7 linked regions of the Macaca fascicularis genome follow. The main gene of each other region encodes a partner of the protein of the gene in region 2 in a complex. Links are inferred from orthologs where the notes say so. Each region holds a gene or a part of one and is shown on either strand. Other genes may lie near its edges.

The links.
Region 1: VAMP7 (region 2) and STX7 share a complex: the UniProt entries of both Homo sapiens proteins name them as parts of the SNARE complex. The link is inferred for Macaca fascicularis from reciprocal best matches to the Homo sapiens genes VAMP7 and STX7.
Region 3: VAMP7 (region 2) and VTI1B share a complex: the UniProt entries of both Homo sapiens proteins name them as parts of the SNARE complex. The link is inferred for Macaca fascicularis from reciprocal best matches to the Homo sapiens genes VAMP7 and VTI1B.
Region 4: VAMP7 (region 2) and STX18 share a complex: the UniProt entries of both Homo sapiens proteins name them as parts of the SNARE complex. The link is inferred for Macaca fascicularis from reciprocal best matches to the Homo sapiens genes VAMP7 and STX18.
Region 5: VAMP7 (region 2) and BET1L share a complex: the UniProt entries of both Homo sapiens proteins name them as parts of the SNARE complex. The link is inferred for Macaca fascicularis from reciprocal best matches to the Homo sapiens genes VAMP7 and BET1L.
Region 6: VAMP7 (region 2) and STX5 share a complex: the UniProt entries of both Homo sapiens proteins name them as parts of the SNARE complex. The link is inferred for Macaca fascicularis from reciprocal best matches to the Homo sapiens genes VAMP7 and STX5.
Region 7: VAMP7 (region 2) and STX4 share a complex: the UniProt entries of both Homo sapiens proteins name them as parts of the SNARE complex. The link is inferred for Macaca fascicularis from reciprocal best matches to the Homo sapiens genes VAMP7 and STX4.

Annotation. Positions count from the first base shown.
Region 1 is NC_088378.1:36,468,806-36,472,913, forward strand, and holds the start of STX7 (syntaxin-7), read right to left. Parts: upstream 2,801-4,108; 5' UTR 2,691-2,800; intron 1-2,690. UniProt on the Homo sapiens protein: May be involved in protein trafficking from the plasma membrane to the early endosome (EE) as well as in homotypic fusion of endocytic organelles. Mediates the endocytic trafficking from early endosomes to late endosomes and lysosomes.
Region 2 is NC_088395.1:161,936,688-161,940,187, reverse strand, and holds part of VAMP7 (vesicle-associated membrane protein 7), read right to left. Parts: intron 3,174-3,500; coding exon 3,116-3,173; intron 695-3,115; coding exon 557-694; intron 1-556. UniProt on the Homo sapiens protein: Involved in the targeting and/or fusion of transport vesicles to their target membrane during transport of proteins from the early endosome to the lysosome. Required for heterotypic fusion of late endosomes with lysosomes and homotypic lysosomal fusion.
Region 3 is NC_088381.1:135,559,350-135,562,690, forward strand, and holds part of VTI1B (vesicle transport through interaction with t-SNAREs homolog 1B), read right to left. Parts: intron 2,329-3,341; coding exon 2,155-2,328; intron 1-2,154. UniProt on the Homo sapiens protein: V-SNARE that mediates vesicle transport pathways through interactions with t-SNAREs on the target membrane. These interactions are proposed to mediate aspects of the specificity of vesicle trafficking and to promote fusion of the lipid bilayers.
Region 4 is NC_088379.1:8,513,663-8,517,932, reverse strand, and holds the start of STX18 (syntaxin-18), read right to left. Parts: upstream 2,801-4,270; 5' UTR 2,717-2,800; coding exon 2,549-2,716; intron 1-2,548. UniProt on the Homo sapiens protein: Syntaxin that may be involved in targeting and fusion of Golgi-derived retrograde transport vesicles with the ER.
Region 5 is NC_088388.1:85,832-89,807, reverse strand, and holds the start of BET1L (BET1-like protein), read left to right. Parts: upstream 1-1,176; 5' UTR 1,177-1,253; coding exon 1,254-1,272; intron 1,273-2,518; coding exon 2,519-2,610; intron 2,611-2,893; coding exon 2,894-2,950; intron 2,951-3,092; coding exon 3,093-3,260; 3' UTR 3,261-3,976. UniProt on the Homo sapiens protein: Vesicle SNARE required for targeting and fusion of retrograde transport vesicles with the Golgi complex. Required for the integrity of the Golgi complex.
Region 6 is NC_088388.1:11,216,575-11,220,807, reverse strand, and holds the start of STX5 (syntaxin-5), read right to left. Parts: upstream 2,801-4,233; 5' UTR 2,665-2,800; intron 2,219-2,664; 5' UTR 2,070-2,218; intron 1,974-2,069; 5' UTR 1,955-1,973; coding exon 1,730-1,954; intron 1-1,729. Other genes in the region: TEX54 (testis-expressed protein 54), read right to left, coding at 3,084-3,590; WDR74 (WD repeat-containing protein 74), read right to left, coding at 3,724-3,903. UniProt on the Homo sapiens protein: Mediates endoplasmic reticulum to Golgi transport.
Region 7 is NC_088394.1:29,214,429-29,218,394, reverse strand, and holds the start of STX4 (syntaxin-4), read right to left. Parts: upstream 2,801-3,966; 5' UTR 2,543-2,800; coding exon 2,513-2,542; intron 2,336-2,512; coding exon 2,234-2,335; intron 2,145-2,233; coding exon of another isoform or gene 2,123-2,144; coding exon 2,023-2,122; intron 1,887-2,022; coding exon 1,812-1,886; intron 1,375-1,811; coding exon 1,304-1,374; intron 1-1,303. UniProt on the Homo sapiens protein: Plasma membrane t-SNARE that mediates docking of transport vesicles. Necessary for the translocation of SLC2A4 from intracellular vesicles to the plasma membrane.

The sequences.
Region 1 (4,108 bases), on a different chromosome or scaffold from region 2:
ACATTGTATACATCTACTGAGGTATCACATGTACCCCACAAATGTGTATAATCATTATCTGTCAATTAAAATAAAAGCAAAAAATATCTTATTATAAGCTGTTAACAAGGTAACTGCAGTAAGAAACTACACTTTTACTCTACATTTCATTTTTTGATGTGACAATTTACACCGTTTTATATTGTATATCACTTAAATTACATTGTAGCTCTTGTTTTTAAAAAATTAAAATTAATTAAAATTAAGTTAAATGAAAAATTCAGTTCCTCGGTCATACTAGACACCTTTCAAACGTTCAAAAATTCTGTGTTCCTAGTGGCCAGCAGCTTGGACAGCTCATTCACAGACCACGTCCATCATCACAGAAAGAGCTATTGCACAGTGCCAATCTCCACATCGCAATAATCATCTTTCTATGAAGATACACAAACACCATAAAGAGAAAAACAGGAAGGGAGAATCAAAGTGCAACACTCAGATGAGCGTCTTCTCAAGACTGCTTCTAAAGAACACAAAAGAATGAACAAAGGGAACGTTAAAATGTAATCTTAAAGTGTCAAACACTACTCCCAGTTAAAATCAGATACACTGTAGAATCCTTAAGATTTCCATTTAGCATATATCTCATGCTCTATAAATCTACTCTGGGCAAAGAAGGGGTCAATTTCACTTTCTTAATCATTAACATCAGCATAAACAACTGGACTTCTCTCTACCCTCTACCCCAAATAAGTTCTGACGGGTGGGGGGTGAGCATTTTTTTGCCTGTTTTGTGGATTGCACTATTCTCAGTGCCTGGCTACATCATAAGTGCTTAACAAATATTTGTAGAATGAATGAATGTACCCACTTCCTAAGAACACACACCCAGCGTGAGGGTAAATATTACCATTTCTAAAACATAAAATTCCAGTGCCTTCTTTCAGATCCCGAAGGTCGCAGGCTCCTTGCTGCCTTAGGCCTTTGCTGGGTGCCATTTCCTATTTCTAGAAGGCTCTTCTCATGATCTCCATGTGACTGGCTCCTTCTCCCCAGCAAGGCCTCATCACATGCTAGAGAAACCTTTGTGACCACTCTGATCTGAAAGTGAGAACTCACCACAGGCCACTCTTTGTCAATCTAACTTACTGCTTCACAATACTCAATAGTCTAATTAGTTACTGTTTATTATTGATCCCTACACCTCTGGAATACAAACCTTTATTATTGATCCCTATACCTCTGGAATACAAACAGGAGCTACTTCTGGAATATAAACAGGGGATAGATGACCTTGTCATTCTGTGTAATCTACAGTGCCTGGTGCATACTAAATGCTCAAGGAACTGTCTACATAAGTATCCTCTGCACAAACTACATTAACTGCATTCTTTGGCCTTAGATCTTCCATCACTGAACTTTTGTACTACTTGGTTTTAGTTCACAATATCAAGGATTATTTTTTTCACACTTTCACACATGAAACTTGCAAATTAAATGGAATCACAGCAAACTTTACTCAGACTTACTGTGGATATTTTCTATAATTTACTTTTCAATCATCAGCACTTAAAGTTTGGGGTCATAATCAAAATGAGAATTGATTTTGTTATCAAGAGCAACATAAGTAACATATCCGAGGAAAAATGATGATGTTAATGACTTAATATGGTATCATATTAACCTCTGCAGACACTGTGAAGTTAAGAGCATAATTCTTAACTAGTCACAAGTCTGAGGCCAACTTCTCAAAGTGGCCTATAAGGCCTGGCCACATCACAAACACAGTTTAACACCATTATTAGCCTCTGCCCAGGTGTGCTCAGAGAACCTGCAGAAGAAACGCTCACTTCCAACATTATTAAATAGCACAGCATTTCATAATTACTTTCTTTTCTTCCAGATTCTAGGCAAGTTTTATATACTATATATAATTATAGTCAGAATACAACGATCTGAGGTAAACAAAAATTAACGTATATAGATAACAGTCAAGCAAATGTGAGAAATTTGTGGGAAAAAAACACACAGCATTTGATCAGAAATGCAACTTTTTTTTCTTTGTCTGAATTTAAAGAAAGTAAGTAACTAAAAAACAAGGTGGAGGAAATACTAGAAATATTTTATGTATGTTTAAAGGTTTTTATGTAAATTAATTAAACGTGTATACTAAGAATGTCAAAGTATGTTAAGTCATCAAGCCAAATAAAACAAATACTACGAGCCACTGAATAAACAAACATACACGGTTTGTCTGCTACAGCCATACATTTTTCAGTTCCTCTATATTCGGGAAGTTTAAAGTGTGTTTTTCAATCCATGAGTTGAAAAGAGGAAGAGGTCATTTGGTCGTGTCTGGATTCCTGGGCTGGGCCCCAGCCGGGTCTGGCGCCGGCCACGCCGTGCGCCTCGGGAGCGCTGCCCATGGGACCACGGCGGGTGCGTGGCTGGCCAGGCCCACCTAACCACAGCCGCGCACTCCAGGAATGCGGAACGCGCCGCGCCCCTGCACCCGGCCTGGGGGTATGGGGAGCCGCAGGCGCTCCGGGAGCCGGGGCAGTCCGGCCCTTCCTCACCTACCGAGTGCCTGCTGCAGAGCGCAGGGCGGCGGCCACCTGACCACGCGCACAAACAAGGAGGAGCGGCGCCGCAGGGGCACCGCGCCTCCCTGTCGCACGGCCAGGAAACCCCCCTCCCCAGGGTCCTCTTACCTGGACCTCGGTGGCTCCCTCCTACACCTCCGACCACCGTCACCCACCGACCCCCGAGCCTTCAGCTGCAATTCTCAGCTGATGGGCGGTGGCGTGGGGACGCCCAATGCGCATGCCCGCAGCACAATTCAAGGAAGAAGGCGGGGTTCACCCCTTTTCTATTGGCCCGCGGGGCTGAGTGACAGCGGCCCTCACCGCCCCTTCGGTTCCAAGCTAAGGAATGGGAGTATCAGCAAAATTGCAAGGGAGCTGTTCTTTGAAGCCTGACGTAGAGATGGTGAACGCCTCTTAGCCTGCGTGCAAAAAAGCAGAGGACAGAATGGAGGACAGTTGTCTTCTTTATCTGGTGAAGCCTTCTTGCACGCAGGTCTTCACCCCGCCCCTTTAGCTCCTGCCTATCTTGTTTGCTAACCTTTAACTGCAGTAGATCGCGTTCACAGCTCTATCGAAAAATGCAAAGGCGAATACAAAATCCTAGCGGGAACAATGAAGGAATAAGTGAAGAGTCATCTCTGGGTCCTCACTTAGTAAACAAGTTTTCCTAGTACGTACAAGTCATTCGAAGCATTCCTGAAAAGCAGGGCGTAGTTTTCACAGGGTTTAAAACAAGCAGAGACTGTTCCAATGATAAATATGCAAATATAATATAATTGTTAGATGAAAAGCATCAATTGCTACAAATGAAAGAAAGCCCTCACCAAATTAATTAGAAGATAGATTGGCTTAGCCTTCGCCTATATTAAGGAAACACTATTTTCTAAAATGATTACCCGGATATGTGATATCAAAAGTCCAGATGCACTTAGGTGGAAAAAAGCAAAACCTAGTATAGAATTCTGGTTGAAACTCACCAACACTAAGTGTGGAATGTTATCTGTTTAAGAGAGATGGACAGAGAAAGAATAACCCAGAAAAGGAGTAACCCACAAGATAGGAAATAAACCAGGAAAAGGCAAACTAGAGAATGAAGGGAAAAAAGAGGGAATGGTCCATCATGTCATCTGTCACAGAAAGTTCAAGTAAATAAAGAACTGAAAGTAGTGCATTGTACTTGAGAATTAGGAAGTGGCTGGTGAACGTAGGAAGAGACATTTCAATCGTTGAAGGAACTCATGAAAGGATCTTACATCTGTGTGAGGTTTAGTGCACTTTCCAAATACCATTCATATTATCTTTGATAGACCTCTGGGCTCTGGGAGGGGAAGGTACAATGCACTACAGAAGAACCTGAGATTAACTGGCCTCTTCAAGTTGCCCTGATAGTTACTGACTATGCTGGGACCAAAACTTAGCTGTCTGAGCCCTCATTCTGGGCTTATTGCAATTTCTTGCTTTAAAATATGTTATGAATGGATTCCTTCCAGGTCTTTTGAAAACTTAAGAATAAGATTTCATCCTTTGGTATTTAAATGGAAAAA
Region 2 (3,500 bases):
GAAAACAGATCAGTGGTTGCCTGGGGCAGAGTGTGGGGGAGGGGACCGACATAAGGGAATTTTTAGGGAGATTAAAATGCTGTCTTGAGTACAGTGGTATTTCACAGGTATAAACACATGTAAAACCTCACGAAGCTGATAATTATGGACTCATACAGATGAAGAGAGTTTCAAATTATTAATTTGGGTTGTTAGAAAATTAAATTTGCCTCATGGAAGGGTAGAAGGTTTATGTACAGGTTAAAAGATCATTTGGCATGTTGAACACATTTAAGCATCAGATGGGTAGTTGAACTAGATGATCTTTAATGCTCTTCCGATCATGAGACACTATGACCACTATTAATAGAGAATACAGAGATAATAAAGAATATCACTGTTTTCTACCCTAAAATTGCTCCTTTACATTTTTTTTAATCAGGCAAGTTTTATTATGTTGACTTACAGTAACACAATCAGAAAACTATATTGCAGGTCAGGGCCCCCTAGATTCATAGCATTTGAAGGTAATAAAGAAGATAAAAATCAAAATACCTTATCCTGAGAAAGATCTTACCAGCTGTGCAGCCAAGACACTGGAGAACTCGCTATTCATGGCATATGGAAGTGCTGTCTGTGCTCTTGAACCATAAGTAGTCTGGAACCTCTTCTTTATCTCATTCAGAAAATTAAAGGCTCGAGAACGTTCAAAATCCTGAAAAGAGATCAACACAGAACTCACATTTAGAAAGTAAACAAAGATGATGTGAGTGATTAAGAACAACAATAAAAAATAGCTAACATTGATTGAGCAATGATTCTATGAGGAGGAACTAGCAATGATCCTATCTTAAAGATAAGTAAAGGAAGGCCCTGAAAAAGTAACTAACTTGTCCAAAGGTCCAACAACTAGTAAATGAAAGAGCTGAGAGTGAATCCAGATATATCCGGTCATTGACAACTGAAGATAATGATAATTATCAACTTCTTGACATCAGGAATTGGGTTTTACTTCCTCCATATATTTTACAGGATCTATTAGAAGGCCCAGCACAAGAATATGTTTAATAAATCCCATAATAATCATACAGTCTTTCATACACACAGATAATACTACTGATATTAACTTCAAATTGAATTTTTTCAATAGTGGTGGTACATTTGAAAAGATCAAGTGACATACTCATGTCTAATCTCAGCCAGCCAAAAATTATGTGTGTTCTCTAGAAGAATACCTTAGAGGAAAAAAATGAATGTGTGTATGTGTGTTTATGTATGTATGTGTATGTGTGTATCAAATTACAGCTCAAGAAATACGAGGCTCGACTCTGACTATCCCAGATTTCATTATTATTTTTTATCTACTCCAAGCTCTTTCACATCAGTCATTTCACATATAGCTGGATTTTTTTCTACTTTTGGAAAATATTGTGAAGCCAGAGATAAAAATCATTGTGATGATCACTATGGTTGACAGTCATTTCCCTTTCACCCAAGATGCTTAGTCTAAGCCGAGGGTTCTTAAATTGGGGTCAATGGTCCAAATTCAAGGGGCCCTTGTACTTGGATAGAAAAAAAGATCATCACATCATTATTTTTATCAATTGTTAACTTATATTTCAATTGTGAATATAGGTAGTATATTCATAACCAAGGTAGTATTAACAGTACCTGTAACTATCACCAACAGAAATCTTTTTTCATATACCATCACAGTTATAGATATCTCAAAATATTGTTAACACCCATCACATCAAGATTATTAGTTATTAGACCCACGACTAGACCTTGTTAATGAGTTAATAAAGAAGCATATATATGACTACATCAAGTTTTTAAAATATTTTGAAAACTACATATATATATATTTCAATACAACTGGCTTTGTTAGAATTGTGTGTGTTTTATACATTTAAAAGCATTCTGGAAAAGGAAAATTAAAAAAAGAAAACAAAAGCATTCTGGGAGTGTTCCACAAGTGACGAGTCTGTGATACAACAAAGATTAGGAACCCTGATCTATGGCAACCATGCCAATTCCATGTCTCTTTGTCAGTAGACAGTTTAGAAATGAGCATGCAGCCAATAAGACATGAAAGGAAGTTCACTTTGAAAGAAGGGGGAGGGGAGGGCATGCAGCTGGGAAAAGCTTCCTCATTCCTACAATAAGACACTCAAGAAGACACAGTCCCTCTTCTCTGGACATGAATAAATAAGTATGTAGCTCTACATAACCATAATGGCAACCTGTCTGGGAAGAAGGAGACACGGAGGAAAGCAGAGAAGAGAAAGGACCTTAATGACATCATTAAGTTACTGAGAATTTTGGGCTGAGAGCCGACAGTCATACCTAGCCAATGTAAACTACAGGTTTATATAGCTGATCATAATGTACTGTAATTTTGTTTTTCCAAAGTTCACACACATGAAAGAATTCATTAACTACTGATAGAAGGAATGACGTTATCTAATTTAACATTCCAGGTAAACAATTTTTGAGAGGTTTTGATATCAAAGAATTATAATTATGAACACCAATTCTCACTACAAAATAGAATATAGAAGTTGCAACAGGCTAAGCTAAAACTCTACCAAAATCGAACTGATTTGCACATACCGCAGTATCAAGTTTTCTTATCATTTGCTGCTCTATATGACAAATGCAAAATATTAACAATTCCAGCTATGTAAAGTTCGCATCACCTTTGCCCACCATAGGTACAGATCAGCAGTCCCCAACCTTTTTGGCACCAGGGACCGGTTTTGTAGAAGACAATTTTTCCAAGGACTGGGGGAGGGGGAATGTTTTCGGGATGAAACTGTTCCACCTCAGATCATCAGGCATTAGTTAGATTCTCATAAGGAGCATGCAACCTAGATCCCTCGGATGTATAGTTCATCACAGGGTTCGCACTCATATGAGAATCTAATGCTGCTGCTGATCTGATAGGAGGTGGAACTCAGGTGGTAATGCTCATAGGCCACTCACCTCCTGCTATGTGGTCTGGTTCCTAACAAGCCACAGACCTGTACCAGTCTGCAGCCTGGGGGTTGGGGACCCCTGGTGTAGATAATAAAGAACTGGCTGTATTAATAGTACACATAGTTAAATAGCAATATGTCTTCAAGTTACTTACATCATCAGTGATACAAAGATATACAATCCTGTCTTGGCAGATGTAATGAAACAAATAACTGTAGAATAAAAGATATAAAACTTACTGTGGTTATAAGCAACATCACTTTTACTTCTATCTTCTATCTATGTATAAGCAAGTTCAGTACTGCCAATGTCACCACATTACTTACGGATACAGTCTATTCTCCCTCTTCCCCTTCCCAATATACCTGTTTCTTTCAAGTCAAACTGAGAGAAGTAAATAAGAAATAAAAGGAAGATCTCTATTCTAGCTACATAGCACAACAGCATGTGTATTACCCATTAGAACCACAGCTGCAAAAGCATAATTGGACTCTCAAAGCATGAACAAGAGATGACATCTTAGGAGGAGCATGTAATTA
Region 3 (3,341 bases), on a different chromosome or scaffold from region 2:
TCTTTACCCTCTTAAGAGACAGTTGCATTGAATTGTGAAAAGAACCTCCATGTAACTTTCAACTGCCTGCTACTAATCTGGACAGCTGGAGGATATTTCACCTCCAGCAGATGGCTACCTGCCATCTGTTCCCATTCCCCAGTGGCCTTGGTAAGCTGACCTCTCAGCTCATTCCGTGGCTTTTATTTCTTTGAAACAGGGTCTCGCTCCGTCACTCAGGCTGGAGTGCAGTGCTGCAATCGCAGCTCACTACAGCCTTGACTTCCCAGGCTCAAGCAATACCCCCACCTGTCCCCAAGTAAGGTGGGATCACAGGTGCATGCCACCATACCCTGCTACTTTTTTTTATTTTTAGTAGAGATGAGATCTCACTATGTTGCCCAGGCTGGTTTCAAACTCCTAGGCTCAAGCCATCCTCCCACCTCAGCCTCCCAAAGTGCTAAAATTACAGGTGTGAGCCTGGCCTCCTGGGCTTTTAAATTCAACCAATCTACCTGGTATGTTCAAAAACCAAAACCCACACAATCTGAAAGCAAGTTACATTCTCCATAGCTTTCCTTGAATGTAGTACTTTATTGTGAATTTTCACTGAAGAGGGCAGGCACTACTCTGACTTAATGGAGAATTGTAGCTACTAAGAAAATCTACTCAAATCTTCACACTGAGCTAGTATTTTCCTGTCCAAATCTTGGCCACAGTATGTTTTTCAAATTGATTTGCCTTCTGCTATTAAGAATACAGCATTCAATTGGCAAATTGTACTAATTTAAAAATTCCAGTCGGGCACAGTGGCTCATGCCTGTAATCCTAGCGCTTTGGGAGGCCAAGGTGGAATGATTGCTCGAGCCCAGGAGTTCGAGAGCAACTTTGGCAACATAGTGAAACCCCGTTTTCACAAAAAATTAAAACAATTAGCCAGGCACAGTAGCACATGCCTGCAGTCCCAGCTACACATGAGGATCACTTGAGCCCTGGAGTTTGAAGCTATAGTAAGTTCTAATTGCACTGCTGCACTCCAGCTTGGGTGACAGAGCAAGACCCTGTCTCTAAAAAACTAAAAAATTCATACATAGGTTAACTCATTTATGGAAAGGAAAAAATAAATGAGTTATTTTTCTGAGGCTCTCAGAGTGACAGTAGACTAGAGGTCCCTGATATAGTCATCATTTGGTGTTAAATATTTGTTTTCTTTCCACAATGATCCAGTTTACCTTACTGGATAATCCTTAGAGATTTTTTTTCCCTATTACTTTTTTTTTTTTTTTTTTTTTTACTTTTACTTAGATAATAGTAAAGGGTTATAGTCCAGGATTGAAGCATAATTTATAAATCTATAAACTGTGGTACTATTTTACGAAATCTAGAAAATAGCCTTGGCTCTAAATGACAGGGTATAAGTAGATGATGTTTTCATAAGAATAGCAGAATACTCTATTAGATGTGTAAAAAATTAAAATCTGATTGGAAGCTTTGAATCCTTAAGTGCCTTTTGACGTATTATTTCTCTTGCCAAAGAGAGAATACAGCCACTTTATCCTTATTAATTCCTGTAATCTTATAAGTGTAGAAATCAGGTTTCTTCCATCTTTTTTTCCCTTCACTGAAGCAAAAATTTCCAATGATGTCTAATTCTTAGGGGTAAAATTGCTTCTAAGGGAGATCTCTTGGCCAAGCAAACTAAAAATTGAGCAAAGCGGCCAGGCACAGTGGCTCATGCCTGTAATCCTAGCACTTTGGGAGGCCAGAGCGGATGGATCACCTGAGGTTAGGAGTTCGAGATCAGCCTGGCCAACATGGCGAAACCCCGTCTCTACTAAAAATACAAAAATTAGCTACGTGTGGTGGCACATGCCTGCAATCCCAGCTATTCAGGAGGCTGAGGCAAGAGAATCGCTTGAACCCAGGATGTGGCGGTTGCAGTGAGTGGAGATCACGCCACTGCACTCCAGTCTGGGTGACACAGTGAGACGCTATCTCAAAATAAATAAGTAATAAAAAAATTAATAAATAAAAATTGAGAAAAGCATATGAACTTAAAAAAGACTATTCCCTGAATACAGAACTGCTGTAGCTTTTGGTCTTAGTATGGTTTCCAGGTGCAGTGGCCCCCTAATTTCCCCATACTTGCCCCTTTCCCTGTCTGCCCAGACTTACTCTACTCTTGGTGCGTTCTAACTGGTCTCGTTGTTCCCCCAGCTCTTCTATGATTTCTGAGCCAATTTGGTCGGTCTCCGTGGCAATCCGATGAGAGCGTTCAATACTTTGGGTGGCCCGGTTCAGGCTTTCAGTGCCTTGCAGAAGCATTGCCCTTTGAGACTGTAGCCGATTCTGAAAGGAGTATGGAAGAGAAATGTTAGACTTTTTCCATAATAAATTCATTGCCAGCATATTCCTCATGACCTTCCCCATGTTAGAAAGCATACAGTGAGCAATAATTTTCATTCCTTTTAAGACAGAACCAAAGAAGCTAATGATTCTTTTCAAGGTCACAGACTAAAGCAGAACCTGAAATGAATCAATAGGATCACAATACCCCCACTCCACTGTCTTTTACACTTATGTGAGGCAAGGAAAGATGGATTAAAAATACTGGAGCACTTTCCCTGTGTTTGTGATGAATCTGAACTGGTTCATGTGTCTCCTGGACTATCAACTTCTGAAAGGTGGCAGCCCAGATGTGGGAGCTACCTGATTAATGCATATAGCCTGTAACTTTGATAGTGCTATGAGCAAACCAACTAAACTCCGCAGCCCTAGAAAAAGGTTAATTCACTGAAGATTCCCACTTGACTGGTACTGAGAACTGAAGGACCATGAACAAGCTATTCTGTTCTTTGTTTTAAGCCTCCAGCACCTGGTATTTCCAGGTGGTCTCCCATCCAAGTACTAACCAGGCCTGACTCGCTTAGCTTCTGAGATCAGGCAGGTTCGGGGTGGTATTGCCTAGATGACTACAATTCTTCTTTTCAGCATCTAAAGAAATTTTGTAGAAGTCTGAGACACTACCACATTCTGGAAAAAACGTATGTGGTTACCCTCTTGGTGAGCCCCAAAAAGAACTTCACCTAAGGTCAAACAAAAAGCCTTGAGGCTGCCACACTGGGGGTGATTTGGTCTCAGGGAAATTAGTATCTGGGGCTTGAGCAAGCTTCCCCATCTGCCCTAATTTCTCAACTGCCCTAATTTTCTAAATCCCCACCGAAGTTTTACCCCACCTGTAATCCTAAACACAGACAGCATGAAGACAAAAGTAGCCTTGTCAGGCCAGAATTAACAACCACTGACAGAAATGGAGGCAGCTCCAAGTTCTTAGCTGTTCAAAGCGCGCGTGCACACACACA
Region 4 (4,270 bases), on a different chromosome or scaffold from region 2:
CATACTATAACTTATTACATTTCATTAAGTCTGACAACCAGGGCTAAACCTGAATTAGAATATGTGCTTCTGGTATTGACCAGACTTTTCTGTATAAGGAATCCAGGCCAAACAAAATAACAGGCAAACTTTTGACACATCTAATCATAGTGAAAGCACAGGACATCCATCACTAGCTCTTCTAGTTAAAATTCCCACAAGAGAAGATGGGGAGTGGGGAATGGTTGGAAGAACAGGAGATAATACGCAAAGCAATGACAACACAAAATCAAAATTGCTTAAAAGAATGTATGTTTCCTCTACGTCAGGGGGACAGCGTCCCTGAACAACACAGCCCATGTACTCACTTAAGGTAATGTGACACCTACTCACATCAATACATAGCAGAATTGGAAGTTTCACTGTCACGCGGTCCAAACCTATGACATATGCACAAAGTTCTTCTCAAACATCTCTGAAAAGCAGTCATCACTCTGTTTAATTACTTCCAGTGACAGGGAACTCAGCACCCTACAGGACTGTTACTGTCCCTGAGGCCCATTAACTCAAAAGTCTAAAACACATTTTCACCACTCAGGGAGCGGTGGAAGTGATCACAGGGCTATCCAAAGGGCTTGCCAACTCAACTGTGCCTCTTGTCTCGACCATTCCCAAATCCCCCCTTTCCCTGAGCAGGACTCAAAATTAGCACAGTGTTCATAAATCAGTGGTTTCAGAGTCAGAAGGGACCCTTACAACGCCAATACTGTGATATTCATACCACGGTTCTACAAAAGGAACCCCAGGAAGTGCTTAGGCCAAACTGGGAGGGAGAGTATCCTGTTTCTCTTCCTCTCATTTCAGCCTAGGAAGCTTCCACTTTAATTTGTTATATATAGAGGACCAAGGTAGTTTTTTAAAAGGAGGAGGAGAAAAAAAAGGACCATTTACAGGTAAATAAACTGAGGTCTTGACACTTGCTTAATGAAATCATATAGCTAACAGTTGCAGGGTTCAGACAACAACCTGGTCTCCTGGCTCCTTCTCTGGTACTTTCTCTACCATATAACATCTGACGGCCTAGAGGGCAAAATTCAAACTCCGCAGTGATATACAAAGCCCTTTAAGATCTCTCCCGGTCCAATTTTTATGAGAGTCCCACATACCAGTCTCACTCAAATGTTTATTGAACCAACTTATATCAGACTCTTACACACCTCCACATCTTAGCGCATACTATTCTTTTAGCCTGAGATGCCCTTCTGCACTGGAGCCAACTAATCCTCTTTCAAGATTTGTTTTGGGCATCATCACCTCTATAAAGCCTTTTCTGATCCTCAGGTAGAACTGACCACATTCTTCTTTGTGCCCTACATAACACTTGCAAGGCTTTATGGCACTTGTTTTATGTCTATGTCCGTCTACTCCACTACTCCTTTTACATCATATTACTCTAACATGAGGCTGGTCAGAAAGTAGGTGCTTCATAGATGTTCATCAATAGGGAGAGTGTATTCATCTGGTCCAACCCCTTTCTGATGTTTAAGTATCCTCTGCTAACTGTCATTAATGCATGCATGCATACATTCATTCGAAAATATCTGAGTGTCTATGCAGTGCCAAGTGTATGCCAAGCAGAGTAGGATCTACTGTGAAATTAATGAGGTTTTAGCTTCGGGGTCCCTCACTTCCATCTTCCAAAGCTCTGAATCTCTCTTGGTGATTTTTATTTCTTAAAGACGGCAGACATAACTATAAAAACTTTCGGCCCCACAAAACCTAGATCCCTCCTTGGTGTCACGGACACAAAAGGGAACAAGACAAACATCTCTCCCCTCATGGAATTTTCTGTTTAACGGGAAAGACAGCCATTTTGTTCATTCATTCATTCAACAAACATTTACTAAGCAATGCTATGAGTCATGCATTGTGAGATGAAAACAACTGTCCCTGCCCTTAAGGAAAAGGTTCCTGTTCCCAGAGAGATGAAGGGACACCTGCTCTGATCAGGGAACAGAAAGTAGTTGAGATGACTGTAACACCGTGTTTGCGAAAGATGACCCTAAACTCGTCTCAAGAGGAACTGAGCCCTACTTATCGCGGAGACAAAGGGAAGAAAGAGTTCGGTTGAATATGGTTTTTAATCTCAACTGGGGATGGGAGGCAGACAAGTAAAGAGCACAGGCAAATACGGTGTGGTCAGTTCTGCAACAGGAAGTGAAGGACAGTGAGGTTTCCCGTGAGTGCAAGTCTGTAGTGACGGCGAACTCATGACCTCACAAAGCCGCCCGTGCACTTTCCAGATAGAGATTTCTGAGGGTCTCCTTCCTCGTCCCCCAACCCCCGCCGCCGCAGGAGAAATCTGTTCCCCAATATGCGTCCCCCTTCCTTAAAATAAGGCTGTTCCTTCCCCAAAAAGCTGTCCGGTCTCTGAGGCCAACTCTCCTGTCCCCCTTGGGGCCACCTCCTTCACACAATGCTTACGGGACGGGGTGTGGTTTGGGGCTCGGGGTCCCTGTCGCAGGACTGCCCCCTCCTCAACCCGCCGTTTCCATAGCAACCAGCTCACCACTTCGCGGGCCCGGCTGGAGAAGTCGCCCTTGGGCCGGGGGCTCCGGCGGAACAGCTCATCCCGGCTGCCATCGACCCCGCCGCCCACCGCCACTCCCAGCGCCTTGTTCCGCGTCTTCACGGTCTTGACGCTGGCCCGGAATAGCAGCGTGATGTCCACGGCCATAGCGACCCGTACCCGCAGACCCACACTGGGCCCGCTCACGTAAGCAGCCGGCGACCGCGGCGAGAACCCGGCCGCTGGAGGACTGGTCCTGCCCCGCACTCCTCCCCACCGGCAACTGCGATGCGAGAAGAAAGGTTCCGGCCTGAGCCCCGCTACCGCGGCGGGAGGAAAAAGGTTCCGAACTCAGCGGCGCACCTGGCGGAGGAGGAACCCCGCGACGAGCTCACGGGCACCTCTTTCTCCCGGCAAAGCTTGGAGGGTTTAGCAGTGCGGAGAGCTCAGCGAGCTTTCCTGTGCTTTTTTGGGGCGTGTGGGCTCCGGGAGCGTGAGGACCGGGAAGCTGGGAGGCTCCTTCCCTTCTGGTGGCTCCCTCACTGAGAGCGGGCGGTTTGGTTGCGGGGGACGTGGAGGCGAGCCACCCTTGACCTTTGACTGCAAGGACTCACCTTGAGCAGGACAGAGGCGCTTGGACGGTGACCCTCGGGGTGCAATAAGTGCTGAGACAGAGCAGATGTGCAAGGCATAGAGCTAGAGGCCAGAGGTCTTTCTTCTCCACCCTTCAGTCACCTCTGTAAAGTGAAGCCAGCATCCTCCCCGGAGTTTACTGTGAAAATTAAGTGAGCTGACGCGTGCTGTGTTTTGATGTTGCTTGGCTCCTAGTAAGTGGCCAATAAATGGTAGTAATCGTTAATAATGTTATTATTATAATCACTCGTATTTGTGGTGATGGAAGAGGCTGTAGAGAAAAGGCGTCACCTGTGCAGAGATTTGAAGGATGAATAGGAACTTTAGATGGAGGCAAAGGTGAAAGAGTGGCCCTAATGTCGCTGGATTCTGTTCTTGCTTCATGCATAGTTTTTAATTGTACCGTCTTGAGCCATAGCTATTAAAATTGACAAGTCAGTCAATGAGTTTCTTCTGCATTTTTGGTTCATGGTTCTGTTTTGTGTTGTTTTTTGAGATGGGGGTCTGCTATGTTGCCCAGGCTGGATTGCAGTGGCTATTCAGAGGCGCCATCCTAGCTCATTACAGACTGGAACGCCAGGGCACAAACGATCCTCCCCGGCTCCGCCTCCTGAGTAGCTGGAACTGTAGGCACTTGCCACCATGGCTGGCCTAAGGATATTCAAAATCTCATTGATTTCTTCAAGATTTTTTTTTTTCCATAAAGAGGATGCACAAGTAGAATGTGTATTAAAATAGTGGTTTTAATGGTCAATATAAAAATATTTTCATAATACTAAGATGTTATTTGCCTTTTCACTCTCACTTTCTCATGAGTTGCATACAGTTGAGTTTGCTAGACTGTGATATTGCAACGGAATAAATGCAGAACAGCTGTTTTCTATTAAGCCAGACTTCAAAAAAAAGATTTTCAAAAACATCAAAAGTTTTTAATTTCTCATATAGTGAATGTCGATAATGTCAATATAAACAAAAATTGTTTAGAGCCCTTAATAATTTTTAAGTGTGCAAAAGAGTTGAGACCAAAAGTTTGAGAACCACTGTGTTAAAGAAATAAAGTTTATGAGAAATAGATGTCAAGAAAGTGTA
Region 5 (3,976 bases), on a different chromosome or scaffold from region 2:
CGGAATTTCCAACAGGAAAGGATCTCAGCCCCCACCGCGCCCTGCCACACACACAGTGACGCCCCTCGAGCTCCACAGAACCGATGGGATGTAGACGGGAAAGCCGAAGTGGAAAGGACTTTTCAGTCCCGGGCCATTGGGTTCGTTAGGCGTTTGCTGGGGAATGCAAGCGAACGGGACTCCCAGGCCCCTGCCTTTGTGGAGCTTATGTTCCAGAGGGGAAGGCAGACAAGGAAAAACAAAAGGACATGAGGCGGTCACAGGGCTGTGCTTCAAAAGAAGCAAAAGGTGACTGCTGGGCTGCAAGGGCTGTGAGGCAGTGGTGTTTTTGCTAACACTGGACGATGGGAAGCGAGCCGGGAAAAGACTGGAGGAGCCACTCCAGGCAGAAGGAGCAGCACTTGCAAAGGTGGAAGGGCCGTGAGGGGCCGAGAGAAAGGGGAGCAACGCAGTCTGGCCTGGACTCAGTTCCCTCTTGACAAGCAAAGATCCTGCGTGTCCGTTTCAGTGGCCATCAGGAGGATTCAGTGACGCACAGGAAGCGCGGTCCACTGGCTCTTGTAACAAGTGCCCGGGAGCAAAGGCGTCTACGGCCCCCACTCCCCGTGCCGCCTCCCAGTCTCTTTCCCTGCTTCACTTTCCTGTAGCGCTTTCCGCACACCTGTATTCGACGCGGCGCGCACTCGCAGGCACTAGCGAGGCGCCGATCTCCACTTGACAGAGGAGGCACCCTTGCCCCCTCCACACCCAGGGCTCCTCGCGGGCTTCTGCCCGAGGGGCCTACTCCTCCCTCATGACCCGCCTGTGAATCCTTCCTAACCGTTAGGACCTAACGCATGGCAGCGTCTTTCCACCACCATCGTCTTGGCACTGAGCAAGCAAACGGCCCCGCCCCGCCCCACGTTCACAGGAACAACAAACAAACGTCACATCCGCGGTGCTGCTGTAATCCCAGCACCTTGGGAGCCCGGCAGGCGGGGGCTGCAGTGAGCTGAGATCGCGCCACTGCCTGGGCGACAGTGCTGAAAATAAGTCACAGCGACGCCCATCGCTTCCGCGACCCCGCGGTTCCCCACCCTCGGGCCTAAGCCGGAAATCAGCGAGCCCGACGCCATCTAGGGGCGTGGTTGGCGCGGAGGCGGGGCCATCGCTGGCGGGGGGCGGGGCCGGAAGCCCGTTCCCCGTGACTGCGCCACGTCTGAGGCGGCTGTGGCCGCGTCGGTGTTGGCGTCGAGGAGCCGGGGCAGGGCACGATGGCGGACTGGGCTCGGGGTGAGCGCGGGAGAGCGGAGCCGTTGGGGGCAGGGCCGGGCCGGAACCGACGCCGCTGCCTGTAGAGCCGCGTGCGCCTGCCTCTGGCCTCGGCGGGGAGGACCCTGTCAGGGGGGCGGATTCGGATCCTTCCGGGTCCCAGCAGGGCCGGGTTTCGGCCAGCACTGCCGCTAGGAAGGACGGCGGGCGGGGCGGCCCAGCAGCTCCAGCGAGGGCTCGCGCAGCTGCGGGGTCCCCCCACTCCCCGCCGCTCCCTGTGAGATCGTTTTGCATGGGTTCAGGGTGAGCGGGAGTCTCGGCATTCGACAGGTCCCGAGGCCAGGCCTTCGGAGTAGGCTGTGCTCCGCTGGTGTCCAGGCAGGCCTCTGCTAACTAACTTGGGCCTCGGTGGCCCCATTTCCCCTCCTGGAGCCCGTGTTCTTCTCTGCAAAGTGGGATATTGATGCCTGTCTGAGTTATGATGAGTAAAGGAATTAATGAACAGGAAGTGGTTGGAAGGACGCTGGCATCCCTTCCTTAACGTTGAAGCTAGGGAGAAGGTGGTTCTCACCCACCTGAGGTGACAGAAATTCCTTATCACCTGGCCCAGCCTGTCACAGGCCGGGCCTCTGCAAGCGCTGTGCCCTGGGTGTTGCAGGAAGCCCTGTGTGGGATGCAGACCAGGGATCACGCTCCTGGTCGACCTCAGCTCCCATCTCGCGGAATTGGGAACTTTGCTCAGCTGTTTTCTGTGCGGTAAAGGGCCTTCCCAATGTTCTGTCCTGGTTCCTTGCCACCTCTTCAGGACCCAGCTCAAAGGTCGTCCCTGCAGGAGCCTTTCTGCTGCCCTGCTGGGTACTTTTCCCAAGTCTTTCCTATGCTCTTAGCAGAGTTTACTCTTTTTCTATAAGAATGGGCTCCACATACACAGATGGCGACCTCCCTGGATGCAAGTGTCACATCTTATTAACATCCCAGAGCTGGGCCCAGTTTTTGCTACACAGTCTCAGAAGGTGCTGGTTGGACTGAACCCACTGTGGGTGCTGGCCCATCCCCACCTGGATGTGTACACAGGACACGTGTTCACATGACAGGCCCTTGCACACATCGTCCTTTATGCAGTCTCTCTCACATGTGCAAGATTCACCTGCTGGAACCTAGGTTAGGGCCCCTAGATTTCTGACTCACCCAGTTGTGGTTGGAGTGAGAGGGGTCAGAGGCCTCGCTCCCCGATGGATGCAATCACTCAGCCCCTCTCTTTTCTCAGCTCAGAGCCCGGGCGCTGTGGAAGAGATTCTAGACCGGGAGAACAAGCGAATGGCCGACAGCCTGGCCTCCAAAGTCACCAGGCTCAAATCGGTCAGTGGTGGTCTGTCCTCTTACCTCCACCTGGTGCCCTTGGGGAATGGGGATCAGAGGGAAGGTAGAGGGCCCAGAGGAGTTTCAGGCAGTTTGCCGTCCTCCTCGTTCGATTCGTGGCTGTGCTCACCTGCATGAGGCCCCAGCTGACACCTGGACCTTCCTGCTGCTGCCCCACTGTGTCTGGCAGAGTTGTTGGCAGGGTTTGTCTGGTCTGGGAAGGGTGAGTGCTGTATTATGTGTCTGCTCTGGCCCAACCCTGCCCTCTCTGTGTGCTGAACAGCTCGCCCTGGACATCGATAGGGATGCAGAGGATCAGAACCGGTACCTGGATGGCATGGTAAGGGCCCACGGTGTGCGCGAATCAGTGCCCTGCCCCCAGCACTACCTGCTACAGAGCTTGCAGTGTCTCCTTCAGCACTGGTGCGGGTGGGTGGTCAAATCACCACTTCTGTGTGATCTTGCCGGGATTCTTCCCTTAGGACTCGGATTTCACAAGCATGACCGGCCTGCTTACAGGGAGTGTGAAGCGCTTTTCCGCAATGGCAAGGTCCGGACGAGACAACCGGAAGCTTCTATGTGGCATGGCTGTGGGTCTGATTGTGGCCTTCTTCATCCTCTCCTACTTCTTGTCGAGGGCAAGGACGTGAGACAGTGGGAGCTGGTGTCTGTGGGTGCCAAGGGCAGCCATTGTCTTCCCTGCCTGGCATCTTGGGCTCCAGAGGACTTACCTGCAAAGTACTCCTTTGAAATTATAATCGTGGGCCAGGAATCCTTTCTGTGTGGCAGGAGGCTGCGGCTGCCTGTGACCTGATGAGCTCATGTTGGCTGGTCCCATGTGTGGAAGGGACTCTTTCGGGGAAACCAAGGCCCAGCCCCTCCCCCCTTCCCCAGATGCTAGAGACACAAGCAGAGCTGGGGCCGCAGCGTGTCTGGAGGAGCCAGGTCTGAGCAGAGCAACTGTTGAATCCCAGGCGTGGCCACCTGTGGCCTGCAGCCTTTCTCCCAGCTCTTGGGACGCTGACATCTGAAGGCTCCACGGTCGTGTCCTTGTCTGGATGAGGCCATGTCTGTGATCCAAGGTTCCTGGAACTGACACAGGAAGGGGCTGTGAACCCTAAGTGGGTGCTATCTCCTCCAACTGAGGCTTCTCAGCCTGGAGATGGCAGTTACTCCTGGCCATGGTTGCTGAGCACAGGAGACCAGTGCGGGCCACCCTGCTGTGAGTTCTCTGTGCCTACTCTCCAGTCCTGCGGATGAAGTGAGACCCCTGGGGAGAACGGGTTGTGGATGAAGGAGTGGACTGCAGCCTTGGCCTAGCCACTGGGTGGGATCCTTCTGGGTCCTGTGACTGTGTATCCAGGAG
Region 6 (4,233 bases), on a different chromosome or scaffold from region 2:
GCGCCTGTAGTCCCAGCTACTCGGGAGGCTGAGGCAGGAGAATGGTGTAAACTCGGGCGGCGGAGCTTGCAGTGAGCTGAGATCCGGCCACTGCACTCCAGCTTGGGCGACAGAGCGAGACTCCGTCTCAAAAAAAAAAAAAAAAATAATTAATTAAATAAATAAATAATTAGAAAGCACTCCCAATTTTTTTTTTAAGAGGAGCTGAGTGCAGTGGCTGACACCTGTAATCCCAGCACTTTGAGAAGATGAAGAAGGTGGATCACTTGAGCACAGAAGTTCGAGACAAGTCTGGGCAACATGGTAAAACCCCGTCTCTACTAACAAAACAAAAATTAGGCAGACATGGTAGCACATGCCTATAATCCCAGCTACTGAGAAGCTGGAGGCAGGAGGGCTGCTTGAGCCCAGGAGGGCAGATGTTGCAGTGAGCCGAGATAGAACCACTGCACTCCAGCTTTGGTGACAGAGTGAGACCCTGTTTCCAAAAAAGGAGAGAGAGGCTGGGCGCAGTGGCTTATGCCTGTAATCCCAGCACTTTGGGAGGCTAAGGAAGGCAGATCACCTGAGGTCAAGAGTTCAAGATCGGCCCCACCAACATGGTGAAACCCCGTCTCTACTAAAAAAAAAATACAAAAATTAGCCGGGCACGGTGACGGGCACCTGTAATCCCAGCTACTCCAGAAGCTGAGGCAGAAGAATCGCTTGAACCCGGGAAGAGAAGGTTGCAGTGAGCTGAGATTGCACCACTGCACTCCAGTCTAGGCGACAAGAGTGAAATTCCTTCTTAAAATAAAAAAAAAAAAAAAGAGAAAGAGACTGGGCCTCGCTCAGCCTTCTAAGTAGGTGGGACTACAGGCACATGCTACCACGTCCAGCTTTTTTTTTCTTTTCTTGTAGAGACAGGGTCTTTCTTCATTGCCCCTGCTGGTCTCTAACTCCTGGCCTCAAGCGATCCTGTGGCCTAGGCCTCCCAAAGTGCTGGAATTACAGGTACGAGCCACCACATCCAACCCTAAGTTATTTTGATACAAATTACTGGTCTAGGGCCAGGTGTTTGTGTCCAGACCAACCTGGGCAACATAGTGAGACACTGCCTGTACAAAAAAAATTTTAAAATTAGCTGGGTGGTGCATCCATGTAGTCCCAGCTGCTCAGGTGGCTGTGGAAAGAGGATCCCTTGAGTCTAAGAGTTCAAGACTGCAGTGAGCTATCATCACGCCACTACACTCCAGCCTGTTGACAGAGTTGAAAACAGATCTCAAAACAAAACAAAAACAACAAATTACTGATCTAGAAAATGTCCTTAATGTTACAGAGATAAAAACTAAGATGTAACTAGATTAATTTTCTCATGGTTACAGAGCAAATTTATGGTAGAAATATATTGGAAAATTCAAGGTGCGTGTTTCTCAGCTAAAGGCTCTTCCTAGAACTTGTTCCTTATTCACACCAATTATATTACAGCCAAGTACTCTCTGAAGTACTCCCTCCAGAATAGCACTTCTGCCCTCCAAGGGATTCCTCCTAAAAAAAGGTCTAAGTCCTTGCCTCTAGTTAGCCAGCCGACCTCTTCTCTGTTGCTTACAGCAGACCCTACTGGCCCCATCCAAGCCTATCAGTTCCATCAGGTACCCCCAAGAATTACTTCAGTTAACAGTGGTGGAGCACAGTCCTTCCTAGATTTGAGTATGGCTCACTCCTCGCATTTTCCACTCCAGGTCCTTACCTGACGGGTCTGCAGCGACTTGCAGGCAGACAGAAACTCCTGGGTCCGATCCCGGCAGGACATGGTGTCGGGAGGGGGAGGGACGAGGGCCACTGGGGGGGGCAGAGGGGCGATGTCGCTGCTGCTACTGCCAGCAGGTGCAGGGGACAGGACCTGTGTCTTTGAGAGACCCAGGTAGACACCCTGATCCGTGTTCTTAGACCCGTAGCGTTTCCGCGGGATCATTGAGACGCATAACCTCGGACTGTTGTGGAGGGGAGAGTGTCATTCCCCAGGCAGCTTCTTTCCCCAAACTCCCCCGCCCCACCCCAATCAACAAATCCTCGAGCCCCTTCCGCACTTCTCATGGACTTTCGCGCCCAAGACGCTCGCAGATCCTGGGGCGGGCCAGCAGCGGAAAGGGCTCTGCTTTTCCCCTGTCCCAAGTCGAACCCGCTTCAGACTCTTCTTCCAACTTGGCTCCGGCGGCCAGAGCGCGGGCCGGGGGCCCTGAAGCAGAGACAGGGCCAGAGCCAAGTCCCGTGGCCCTCAGACTGCGGCCTGGCCCGTGTAACTGCCCCGGGCCCTAACCCAGTCCCTTCGTTTCCGTGGTTTCCTTCGGCCCCTCGGGGGGGGGCCGGTGACGGACCTCCAAAGACTGACACACTTCGGTGGGCGGAGGGGGACACCTCTGGGTGTTTATTTGAAACAGGAAGTCCCACCCCCGCCCAAGGTCCGCCTTCTGGAAGACTTCAACCACTCATTAGCTAATGCCGACGTCTCTCTCAACAGAGGCTTTCCTGATTGGACGGCAAGGAATTCGCTCACCAGGAGCCGGGCCGGCAGGACTTGCCTGCTTGCCCCTGGTTCCCTTCCCCCTGCCAGTCGTCGCCCCTGTAAAACCACTGCCCCAGAGCTGACACGGTGGCCAGACCCCCTCTTAGAGCAAGTCTTACCTCCCCTCTGCTGCCTGTCGCCGCCGCCACTACCAATCTCCCCGGCCGTCACTGCCTCCTCCCTGGGCACTGAGGCCGCCGAAACCCGACCAGACTGGAAGCGGCCACGTCACCTACACGTAACCCCACCCCCGGTGACGAGGGGGCGGTCCCACGCATTTTCAAGCCAGGCGACCCGAAAGACACGCCCCACATCCAAACGCAAGAGCGACCCCCCCTCCCATTGGCTAAGGCGCTGCCGTGACCCCGCCCCTGAGTACTACAGCGGGAGCCCAGGGGGCTGGGCCCGCCTCCGGGGAGGAGCCTTAAAGAACCAGCTGCCCGGCGGTGTCCGCGCCCGTTTCCCAGAGTGGTGGTGCAGGTACACGTTAGAAATTTTATTCTCTGGAGGTTGGGGCTGACTAAGAGCAGGTCTGGGGTCATCCCTTCTCCGGCTCCTCCTGGTTGCCTTCTCGGATCGGACGCTCCTGTTTCCGAGTCTGATCTGATTGCCTCTTGCTTGACGGCAAGGAGTCCCGACCACTGAACATTGATGACCTAATCTGGTCTGATTGTCTCTTGCTTGACCGCGAGGAGCCCCGACGACTGAACATGGATAGTCGCCGCCACAGCACGGTGATCAGAAGGCTTTCGTTCGACTTATGATTCCGATGGTCCGGGGAGTTCAAGTCGATACCTTCGGCGCCTGAGGCGACGAGGCCTCTGAGCTCACCCCTACCCTCGGGAAGCCCCTTCTCACACTCCCTGGGCCCTCTGTGTGTGCCTCTGGTCCCATCTTCCCTGACGGCCTCAGACTCTGCCTCCTTGGACTGCTCATCCGACATCTCAAAGTCCTTGTCTTGGCAGCAGCCCATGGCCCCTCGGGGCCCCGGACTCCCTGCCACCCACGCCAGCCTACCTGCCTCCAGGCCCGGCTTTTGTGACATCAGATATCCCGTCGCCCCAGCTCAGGGAGCCCCCACCCCAAGCTACCCCTCATTCCTTTCTCCCATCACAAAAGGCTCAGGGTCATGGTGGATGTTCAGCTGTTTATTTACAAAGTGGGCAGGCACAGGGGCGTCAGGGGCTGGTGGACCCAGGCCGCTTCTTCTTTCTCCGTCTGGTTTGGAGAGCTCCTTGGGTCTGCTCCAAATCCGAGAGCTTCCGCTTGGCAGCTGCCTCCAAGGATGCCCAAAGTTCGTCTGTCTCTGTGTCTTCTAGGGGCACCTTGTTGGGTTCTTGAGGCTCTTGGGGCTCATCCTGGTGAGTGGGAAGAAAGTGTAGGAGTCAGGGGGACTGGGCATGGTAGCTCCCACCTGTAATCTCAGCACTTTGGGAGACCAAGGCAGGAGGATTGCTTGAGCCCAGGACTTAGCGACCAGACTGGGCAACATAGGAGACCCCATCTCCACAAAAAGAAGTTAAAAAAAAAAGAAAAAGTAGTCAGGGGCACAGGGACAAACCCACAGGGAAGGAGACCCTGGCTGAGAAATAATCCCTCTGGGTATCACCACCTTTATTCCCTGCTCCCAGAAAGCAACCCCATCCATGCTCTTGGCAATAACCCTCAGGATTTTAACTGTTAATGCC
Region 7 (3,966 bases), on a different chromosome or scaffold from region 2:
ATCTGCTCTGCCTTGCCCCTTCTCCTGAGACCTTAAATATGCTCATTCCTTGGAGTTCCTTTTCCAGAGATACATCTGCTCTCCTGGTTCCAGCTGCACCCTTCCAAGATGCCCAAGCTGTTTCATCTTCAATCTGGGGTCCTTGCTGAGCCCTGGGCTCAACTACTCCAACCCTGACCTCTTGGTATCCTCCTCACTGGGGACACAAAGAGGGCCAGTCAGATCACTGCAAATCTCCTTACTAAGATATCACCCCAGGGGCCGTGCACGGTGGCTCATGCCTGTAATCATAGCACTTTGGGAGGCCAAAGCAGGTGGATCACTTGAGGACTTGAGGTCAGGAGTTCAAGACCAGCCTGGCCAACATGGTGAAACCTCATTTCTACCAAAAATATAAAAAACTAGCCAGGTGTGGTGGTGTACGCCTGTAATCCCAGCTACTTGTGAGGCTGAGGGAGGATTATCGCTTGAAGGAGGTGGAGGTTGCAGTCAGCCAAGACTGTGCCACTGTACTCCAGCCTGGGCGACAGAGAGAGACTCCATCTCAAAAAAATAATAATAATTTTTTAAAAAAAGATATTACACCAGGGGAGTTCCTCTTCAGTGTCGCCCCAGGGAAGTTCCACTTCCTGACTTCTTGAATTCCACCTGTGGGACTAAGGATGTCCCTGTCACACAGATAGCAAACCTGCCAGTCAATTTGTGACTTCTCACTCTCCTTCCCTGGGCAGCGCCATTAGCCACCAGATCCCACGTGAGTAATGTCTTTATCCCCTATTGAACCCTAACTCCTCATGTTGACTCCTAGAAAACACGTGTCCCAGCTGGGCGCAGTGGCTCACGCCTGTAATTCCAGCACTTTGGGAGGCCAAGGCAGGAGGGTCACCTGAGGTCAGGAGTTCGAGACCAGCCTGGCCAACATGGGGAAACCCCGTCTCTACTAAAAATACAAAAATTAACTCGGCATGGTGGTGTCCGCCTGTAATCCCAGCTATTCAGGAGGCTGAGGCAAAAAGAAAAGAAAACGTGTCCCACAGTCAAGCCTAGGTCTTGTCTGGGGTCAATAAGTAACTTCTTATTGAATGGAAGAAAATAAAGCAGGGTGTTATAACCGGACTGAGCATCAGGAGACCTGGTTTCCTGACCTTGAGCAAGTTCTTTCTCTCTCTGAGCTCAGGTTCCCCACTTGGAAAAATCATCCAATTGGACTCCATGACCTCTACAGGCCCTTCCTTCATACATCTGTCATCTACTACTTCATGAAACATTTGCTGAAATGTCATTTCTGAGAAAAAAAACCCACCTGGGTTTTTCTCATTCTTGTGTTGATGGAGTTATAGTTCTCATCAGCTTCCTCCTTCTGGGGCTCTATGGCTGTGGGAAGACACAGGGGTATTGGGGGTACTTGTCTCCATAGGATTTTTAGGGAAATATAATTTATCATAAAATGACTAAGGCTGAGCCTCCAAGAGGAGAAAGTAAGTTTATTTTTCTTTGCATTACATCACTTGAGTTCCCGTACGAATGCAGAGGCCACCTAACAAAACCCCATCTCCCTGCCCAAAGAATGCCCCAGTGGGCAGTGATAACTGTGTAAGTAAATGGTTTCATTGTAAATAAAAGAACCTGAGAGACTGCCTTGTGCTGTGGAGAGTACAATGGCCTGGAGGCCAGAAGACAGAGATGCTAGAACCAGGCCTGCTGTGTGACCTGGATATATCACTGGCTTCTCTGGGCCACACACTCCCCAGATATACCAACAACAGGGCAGGATCAGAGGGAAGGATCTGCCTGAGGTCCCAGTAGCTCACCCTTCAGCTGCAGGCGGATCTCCCTCCCCAGCTGTTTGATCTCGTCGCGCAGGTTCTGCAGCTCCTGCTTCATGCCTGAATAAGAGAAGGCCACGACTCCCAAACAGCAGCCCCCACCTCAACAAACCACCCTGGCCACCACCTGCGTGGAACTACAACCCCCACAATCCCTGGGGCGGAGCATGCGCTATGCAGCCGGGGTTTCACTCACTCTCCTCAGGAAGGGGCGTGGCCAGGATGGTGACCTGCTGTTTCTCCAACTCCTGGACTTTATTCCCCAGCTTGACAATAGTCTGCCGAATTGTCCGGACCTGGGGAGGGTGACCGAGAGGGCTGAAAGAGATATGGGGTACTCCAGACCACGCTGCTCCTCGGGTCCTCCTACCCCCTCGCGAATCCAGGCCAAGACTCCATCCCCTTACCTTCTGGAAGAACTCCTCGTCCGGGCTCCCCAGCCGTGCCGTGCCCGGGTGCACCACCAGCGCGACTCGCTCCTTGTCCTCTTCGTCCGAGCTGTCATCCCCCTGCCAGGCCCGGAGTCATTGGCACCACTGTTTCGCTGCGGCTGTCACCCCGCAGGACCCACAGGCTTCCGGGACTTTCCTTCCTGGCCATCAGCCACCCCTCCCTACCCCGAAGACCAGGAGTCCTGCGTTCCAGTTCGTCCGCGCGCCCCCATCCCCGCTGCCCTGGCGTCTCACCTGCCTCAGCTCGTGGGTCCTGTCCCGCATGGCGGCCTGAGCTCTCCCTCCCCGGCGTCAGACCGGGAGGCCGGCAAACTTGGAATACCCGTACCCCACTCACACTCTGACACTCCCCTCCCTCCCCCTGTGGACCCCAACACCCCCACGAGCCACCAGAGCCTCCGTCCCTTGCACCGCCCACAGTCAATGGGAAGGCGCCGACCCCGGGGACCCCCCAAGGTTCCACAGGTTGGAATTCCCTTTTCTTCCCCCCTCCAGCTCCCGCAGCCTCAGCCCCGCCCCTCCGTGATAAATTCGGGGCATGCGCATATGGTCGCGTCTCTTCCTCGCCCGAGGCGCGGAAGGTGGAGTCGGAAGTTATTGCGCCCCGAGCGGAAGCGGAGCTGCGTGGACGCGAGAACTGGCTACCGTCACCGGAACCGTTGCATCTTCCAACGGAAATCTGGTTGCCAAAAGGGGTAGGAATACGTCATTTGTACGTAATCTGAGGCACCCGCATCTCATATCACCCCATGGTGCCCCCACCGCGTCACGTGAGCAACCCGGTCCCAAACTCGTGGACCGCAGAATGTGACGCTGTGACTGTCACGTGTCCCGGCTCGGTCAGCGCCGTCTCTGGGACGCTGTTTTCATCACGACGTCCCCGGCACTCCGACCACCGAACGACGCCCACACGGCCCCCGCGAGGTGGGGAGGGGCGCGCCCACCACTCCCAGAGGCCTTTCGAGGCAGTGGGTGGTAGGACCCTTGCTGACTTCGCCTTTATTGCTTTCGGGTCCAGGGGCGTGGGCGGACTGACGACTTAGCATTTGGGGCTGTCAGCATCATGGGACCTTGAAAATCGGGAAATAATAGGATCCGAGTCGTCAGCGTCAGAAAATTGCAGGGTTGTGTGGGCAGGGAATCTAGGGGTGGAAAGTGACCTCAGCCAAGGCAGAAACCTCTTCTTCCGCATCCTCCTGGCGCAGCCTCTGACAGGTGGGCAGCCAGCCGGCGCCCTCCTTGAACACTACAGCCCGGCTGCACTCACCACCTTGTGGGCTGTCAGACCATGTCAGGGCAGCTCAGGCTAAGAAAAGTGTCTCTGCACGCTGCCTTCCCTGCCACTCACACCCCCCAGACCCTGCCTTGCATCTGAGGCAGGTAATGACTTTGTTCTTAACTGAATCTGGGGAGTTCCTAGCTCAGTACCAAGCACATTACGGGCCCTCTATAAATACTTGTGGACAGAATCTTAGCCTTTCATGTATCTGAGGATGAAGACCCTGGTTCCTTGGCCTTCTTTAGGCTTCAGTCTTTCTGACTGTGACACTTCTCTAATCCTGGCTATCGAGATATTCACTCATTTTTTATTTTTAAAAATTTTTACAAGATGGGGTCTCACTATGTTGTCCAAGCTGGTCTCTAACTCCTGGGCTCAAGCAATCCTCCTGCCTCAGCCTCCCAAACTG